Daphnia pulex: one gene and its partner. The protein of the gene in region 2 purifies or fractionates together with the protein of the main gene of each other region. This does not show direct contact. Links are inferred from orthologs where the notes say so. Each region holds a gene or a part of one and is shown on either strand. Other genes may lie near its edges.

Region 1 (2,379 bases), on a different chromosome or scaffold from region 2:
TTGCCTGACTTTCCTTGGCTATCAACTTCAGTTCAGAATATTTATCGTGGAATCGGGAGGAAACAGTGTCCTTATGAACAGCATCCGACTTCTTCACTTGTACTCGGCTGTGAAGTGTCAAGTTAAGTGTGTTGGTCAGGTGAGAGATGCAATACAAAAAGACAAAATTAAGTGAATACCTACATCAAAAACTGTCGTGCGTGCCATCTTGAATACATTTCCCGAAAGACAATACAAGAGCTGCTCCCAAAATTATTCCTTTAGAAATGCAAAAAATTAATGGCCTCGAATAATTCGCAGTCGAACGATGTTCCATTGAATTTATACTTTTTTTGCCACAGCATGTAACAAAGGTTCTTTTATATGTTGAAATTCATTTGAAGTCTGTTTTGTGTATGGCATTATGTCCCCTAAGTAAATTAACCTGTTGAGTAATATTTTAGGGCATAGGCTGTATACTTCCTTCTACAGTATCAACATCTTTCAGGGAAATAAATAGCTCAACCATAAACTAGAATTGTATTTTAGGATATACATTAAGGCTACACATCCTTCCAGAATTTTGATATCCTTGCACCACACTCAGGCATATCAAACAATTAGGCTTTCTTTTTCTGCTCCAACTCTGTGATTCTCTTTTGATGAATGTCAATTGCATCCTGATGTTCCTTCATGCGTTGCTGATGAAATGTTATCTCCTCATCAAGGTGAGTTTTAAGTGTTTTCAGCTGTTCAGTTTGCTACCATCCATATAAAAAATCAATACAAGCTATACATAAATTGTAAAAAAAGATATTTCTACCATTTTACGGAAGTATCGTTCCTCATCAGCGGCTTCCTTCTTTCCGAAAGTTCCACCAGCTTCTCGAATGGCACCAGCTCCACCATCTTGGCTGTAATAAGCTAAACGACTAGAAAAGGCAAAACAAATGACAATTAATTCACGTCACAAAGGTAGAATGCTCATTAAAATATTAACTACTCACCTCATAATGGGTATATTACGAGAAAGCTTGAGCGCTGCAACAGATCGAGTCAAAGCCATTTTGTTTTGATGAGTAGACTCGGTGATTCACAAGTCAAACAACTGATTTACAAAGAGAATTCGTAACGACGTCAGACAAACGATCGTTTGGATTTCTACAAACGTCGCAATCGACCAAATAAAATTTTTATAATAATTAAAAGATACATCTGAAGAATAAAATTTCTTACAATAATGTATTCTCTTTAATGGAAGATCTATATTGATAATTAAAAACTGGGTTTGATAGAAACTGATAATGAAACATTTTTCATTCATTGTTGGGCAATGTTGCTAACCAGCATAAACCCGTCGAAAAACGTTGCGCGGAGCGTGAATTGACTATTCTGTGACGGAAGGATTCATTGTTTTTACCGGCCGTTCTACTACAAAGCAGTTTCCTTTTTCTTCATTCGAAAAAAAGTTTGAACTAATAATTTAAAGAGATAATGGATCGTCTATTACGGCTCGGTGGCCCGATGTCTGGCCTCGGACAATCTGCTCCGCCAACTGATGCACCGGTTGTCGACACAGCCGAACAGGTATGACAGATTCGTTTGCATTTACAATAAATTACTTACTATACCTATTATAATTGTTTTCACATTTTTGTTGTAACAGGTTTATATTTCTTCTTTGGCACTGTTGAAAATGCTTAAACATGGACGAGCTGGAGTTCCAATGGAAGTCATGGGACTTATGCTTGGAGAATTTGTTGACGATTACACAGTCAGAGTGATTGATGTATTTGCTATGCCTCAGTCAGGAACAGTATGAAACCATTATCATTTATCAATTTTGCTCACAGTAACTTAACAAACTTTATGTAGGGTGTCAGTGTTGAAGCTGTGGATCCAGTTTTTCAAGCTAAAATGTTGGACATGCTCAGGCAAACTGGCCGCCCTGAAATGGTTGTTGGCTGGTACCATTCCCATCCTGGATTTGGTTGTTGGTTATCTGGTGTAGATATCAACACACAGCAGAGCTTTGAGGCCTTGTCTGAACGTGCTGTCGCTGTTGTTGTTGACCCTATTCAAAGTGTCAAAGGTATTACAGATTTATTCATTTTTTTTTTTGCAGTTGTAATAAATAGTTTTTTATTTACAGGCAAAGTTGTCATTGATGCATTCAGGTTGATAAATCCAAACATGATGGTATTGGGACAAGAACCTCGCCAGACAACATCAAATCTTGGACATTTACAGAAACCATCAATTCAGGTGTGTTTGTTAGATTTTACAAAACATTAAATTCTGCAAGACTTTTTAATGGTTTTTTCTCCAGGCCTTGATTCATGGACTTAATCGCCACTACTATTCAATCAGCATCAACTATCGAAAGAATGAACTCGAACA
Region 2 (4,692 bases):
ATGGCGCGTAAATGTCTTGCTTTGCAATTCCATGAAATGGCTACCAACTTTGGTCGATGGGGTACTTGCTGTTGATGGAGTGCTTGTTATTGATCTAAAGTTTGCAAAAGTGCTACAGTTAGTTACAAATGCTTCGTAACGCCAGCTTCATTTTTTAGTTACTTTTTGTTTCTTTTCTCTTGAATTGGAGAACTATGAGGAGAATGCACGGCATCTGTCCCTCCTGTATCCTCCCATTTGCGCTTTGTGGCTTGTGTTTCCACTTTAACCTGTTCAACTTCGCTAGTTGCACTTCGAACATACGAGTCCATAGAGCTTTTGACAGCAATTTGGTATTTATGCATGAAAGACCTGTAAGAGAAATGGATCTCCAATATATGGCTTTAAAAAACAAGTTCAGATTTCCTTACTTTTGCTTTGCGATTATGTCAGGATTGATCTGTGATCGCGTGGTACGTCCTGCGGAAAGTGACACGTCGTTTGGAGATGGGCTGATGGGTAATTTAGTCCTGCTGGATCTTCTTAGAGCTGCTGATGGAGTTCCTTGCAGTTTAATGCTAGATGCAAAATTTAAAAAGAATTTTTTGAAATTGTTGCCATGTGGAACCCTTGAGAAGGAATAATGTATAGACTTAATTTTTGTATTTACTTTTGGTTTTGGTCTCCTTTGTCAGTAAGACTCTGTAAATCATCTTCTAACTGTTCATTTTCAACTACACCTGAGAGACTGTCCACATTCTTGCCTTCCTGCTTCATTATTGAACCATGGCTAAGAATGAGTCCTGGAGGTGCTTCCTCATCTGATGTTTCTCCAGTAGTACCATCATCCTTTGTAGCTGTTTGAATCCCAGCACCATCTGAGTCTAAAAGTTCTGGCATTTCTTCATCCTCTTCATCCACATCTTCATCTACGTCTTCATCTTCATCCTCCTCAGAATCTTCAGCTATAAAAAGACTTTGTACTTCATCATCATCAATCTGGCTCTGTTCATCACCATTTAGTTGGGGAGTGCCATCCCTAGGTGAAAGAGTGTCGAAGTTTTCACATGCAGTGGCCACATTATCTGCAGGCTCACTGTTTTCACTGTTCAGTTTTCTGGACATTAAACCAACATCCTCCATGACTCTATCACTGGAAGGTTCATTGATGACATCAGCAGTCGCAGCGTTATCCATTCCGGGCAGGCAGCACAGTTTTTCCCTTGTCCCCTTGATATCTGCAATTAGTGATTCCAAATAAATATGTTATTGCGAAACGGAAAATGAACGTAGAATTTAGCAAGCATACCACTGAGGACTGACCTTCCTGTGCTTCGTAGAAACACCGCTAGAGCAGGCGGAATCCGGAGAGGATTTTTCAATCAAACAAGCTCCGCCCACAGGCTATCTATATTTCGGTCCAGTGATGATGCTACAAACAAGAAGAATGTTACAAATTAAAAAGCATCATCAATAATGGTGTCGTGAAAACAAACCCACTCTATAAAAAGGTGTCACGAATCTTGAACCACTTCAGAAGCATGCGATATATTTCAGCTCAGGGTTTCGCCAGAATTATTTTACACACACACACACACACACAGTCACACACACAAGACACACCGGCGGTGTATATAGCAAACAACGTTGTCAATTGGGGATATGAAAAATATTTTTTTTTTCTGCTTTTCACGACACCAATGTTTACGTTTTTACGCTCACTTGGTATGAAGTGAAACGATAATTCACTGTCAGGATGAAAATAATTTCCAAAATACTGTAAATTTTAAGCGAATGCTGTATTTTTAACCTCATTTAGTCTTTATCGATCAATTGCGCGCGCAACTCGTTTCTGAAATCGTCCAGCTGGAGATTGTGACAGGTGAAGAAATCCTTACAATACAAGGTTTGTGGAAAATTATTAGGTTTCATTAAACCGATTTATGGATTGTCTCTTTCTGAAGGCTGAGCTGTGAAAATGGAGTTTGCACATCTCATCAAGTCACCAAGGGTAGAAAAGGTTTTGGTCCACCGCCCACTTCACAAATCTGTTGAAGGGGTGCTATGTATAACTGGGCACCACCTCATTTTCTCTGCTGGAGGAGAAAATCCTGATGAATTTTGGGTATACCAATTTTATTAAGTTTTTTGTAAATTACCTTCACATTGTTTTTTTTTTCATTTTTACAGCTGATTCATAGAATCATAGATTTAGTGGAAAGAAAACCCAACACACCTCCAGCTGCAGGAGGCACTCTTACACTCAAGTGCAAAGATTTTTCTGTTATCAGTTTTGATTTCAATAATACAGAAGAACTGATGAATGTTTCAGCTTCATTGGAGTGCTTATCATCCATAGGTATTTATTACAGATCGGTGCTTATAAGCCTACATCTTCTAAAACCACCTGCTAATAGATCATAATTTTTTTACCACAGAGAATCAGTCTCTTTATTATCCTTTCTTCTATCAGCCAGTTTACACTGCAATAGAAGATGGTTGGACAGCATTTAGGCCAGAAACTGAATTTTCCAAACTAGTCATGCAACAACAGGAAGACTGGAGGATTTCTTATGTCAATAAGGATTATTCAATCTGCTCGTCTTATCCATCTGCTGTTGTAGTTCCCAAGTCGGTCGATGATGACGTCTTAATAGCTGCTGCATCGTTTCGAGTTGGAGGGAGATTTCCAGTTCTCTCATACAGGCATGAAGGAGGAGTAAGTTGCCATTTAATCATAAATATGCTGCAATATTTTTATTTCTTTTTCTTTTTATTCAGGCTGTGATGATGAGAAGTAGTCAGCCTCATTCGGGACCAAATGTTAAGCGTTGTCGTGAGGATGAAAAACTTCTTAACAGTGTGTTGAAACCAGGGATGCGGGGTTACATTATTGATACCCGCCACCAGAGCACAACACCGACCCCCAAAGTATAATATCATTCTTTCAATCTAAAAATCTTGTCTAAATATCTAAAATTTCGTTCCAAAGTCTAAAGGTTCAGGTGGTTTTGAGACCGAATCTCACTACCCTCAATGGCGTCGCATTCATAAACCCATTGAAAGACTGCAGTCTTTACTTGAATCGCTATCCAAACTAGTTGAAGGTAAAAAGCAATATTGTTTGGCCCCCTAAAAGTGACATTTTGACATATTTATTAACCCCTTTTCAGCCTGCCTTGACAATGGCAGTTCTATGGATAAATGGCTGTCCCGCTTAGAATCTTCCCAATGGCTTTCGTACGTAAAAGAAACTATGAATTGTGCCTGTTTAGTTTCTCAGTGCATTGATCAAGAAACTGCTGCTGTTCTACTTCATGGAGGAGAAGGTCTTGATTCTACATTGGCCGTTTCTGCCCTCGCCCAGGTCATTCTTAGCCCTGACTCTCGCACAGTTCACGGGTAAGGTTTAATCCCCTTTGCAAATATCGAAAGGCTTCTATAGTTCTCCTGTGGTTATTTTTCTTTTTCTTCAAGTTTTGAGGCTTTGATCGAGCGTGAATGGATTCAAGCAGGTTATCCCTTTGTTCAACGCCATCACCGCTCGGCTCTGAGTAACACAGTCTCACGGAGCAAAGAAAATGCGCCGACTTTTTTACTATTTATTGATTGCACTTGGCAAATCATGCAGCAATTCCCATGCAGTTTTGAGTTTAATGAAGGATTTCTCCTTCAGTTGGCTCGTCATTCCTATTGGTCTCAATTCGGTAAAAAAGTAATTTAGCCTGGCATAAAACAACACGAAAACTAATGAATTGGATCATTAATCGTTGGGAATAGGTACTTTTCTGGGAAATAACGAATTAGATCGCTATCAAATGCAACTGTCGTCCAAGACTGTTAGTTTATGGTCACATTTAAATCGACCAGAAGTGCTTCGATCTTTCCTTAACCCGCTCTACGAGCCCAACAATCGCGTTATCTGGCCTTCAGTTGCTCCTATGAGCGTGGTATGCATAAATTTTCGTCAATTTAAATTCTTGTTTCTAATTCTAATCTTCTCTGATTCAATTTAAAAGAACTTGTGGCCAGCAATGTACCTCGCTTACGTGGTGGAACCCAGCATCTACGACAATGCCTGGCGTGACATTGCAGCAATTTGTGAGCAGGACAAAGAGCTGCGCTCTAAAGCTCAGCGTCTCCGCCGCCAACTGATAGATTTGGAACGTGATGCCATCGCGAAGGGACTACTTGATAGTCCTAGCAGCATTGGAACAGTCTTTGATTGAGTTTTCATTATATTTTCTCTGCTTGTTTATTATTTTTTCTTCCGTTGAGCAAAACAAAAAGAATTTGAAACTTTAGATGTGACGTTTCAATCTTTTGATATTAAGTCAGCAGTGTAAAGGACTGTCGTGGTTGTAATCTAACCATCTTTCTTCTTCAATCATCATCCATTTCACGGATGCACGAATTCTACTCATTTTTTTCTTCGAAAAAGCCTAAAAGAAAAATACCGACGCGGTGGTTTTTTAAGTGGGGTGAGCAATTCGTGTCATCCCTTCCAGAGTTGCACGACATGTTGTATAAAGTAAAGGAACGTGGTTGACCTTTCCGTATAATCGTGATGGAGTATTCCTCCACTTTGAAAAACCTGTTTTTATTTTTTTGTTATTATTATCTATTCGAGAAAATCTTATATTTAGGCCGTCAAGCAAGAATCTATGAGAACAAAGGAACTTGTGTCCCCTGTAGTTTCCTCAGGTATGTATC

The links.
Region 1: the proteins of myotubularin-related protein 9-like (region 2) and ATPase inhibitor mai-2, mitochondrial-like purify together in Homo sapiens (affinity purification with mass spectrometry; 5 studies listed by BioGRID and IntAct, with this or other methods). This does not show direct contact. The link is inferred for Daphnia pulex from reciprocal best matches to the Homo sapiens genes MTMR9 and ATP5IF1.

What each region holds. Positions count from the first base shown.
Region 1 is NC_060022.1:5,168,386-5,170,764, forward strand, and holds ATPase inhibitor mai-2, mitochondrial-like, read right to left. Parts: upstream 1,141-2,379; 5' UTR 1,046-1,140; coding exon 987-1,045; intron 912-986; coding exon 803-911; intron 741-802; coding exon 600-740; 3' UTR 501-599; downstream 1-500. Other genes in the region: 26S proteasome non-ATPase regulatory subunit 14, read left to right, coding at 1,474-1,566, 1,646-1,795, 1,855-2,071, 2,132-2,244, 2,309-2,379.
Region 2 is NC_060028.1:7,381,115-7,385,806, reverse strand, and holds myotubularin-related protein 9-like, read left to right. Parts: upstream 1-1,655; 5' UTR 1,656-1,885; intron 1,886-1,943; 5' UTR 1,944-1,957; coding exon 1,958-2,104; intron 2,105-2,169; coding exon 2,170-2,338; intron 2,339-2,417; coding exon 2,418-2,698; intron 2,699-2,760; coding exon 2,761-2,910; intron 2,911-2,971; coding exon 2,972-3,086; intron 3,087-3,152; coding exon 3,153-3,381; intron 3,382-3,456; coding exon 3,457-3,686; intron 3,687-3,759; coding exon 3,760-3,929; intron 3,930-3,998; coding exon 3,999-4,208; 3' UTR 4,209-4,283; downstream 4,284-4,692. Other genes in the region: protein kinase C-binding protein 1-like, read right to left, coding at 1-94, 163-351, 411-557, 650-1,176. UniProt on the Homo sapiens protein: Acts as an adapter for myotubularin-related phosphatases. Increases lipid phosphatase MTMR6 catalytic activity, specifically towards phosphatidylinositol 3,5-bisphosphate and MTMR6 binding affinity for phosphorylated phosphatidylinositols.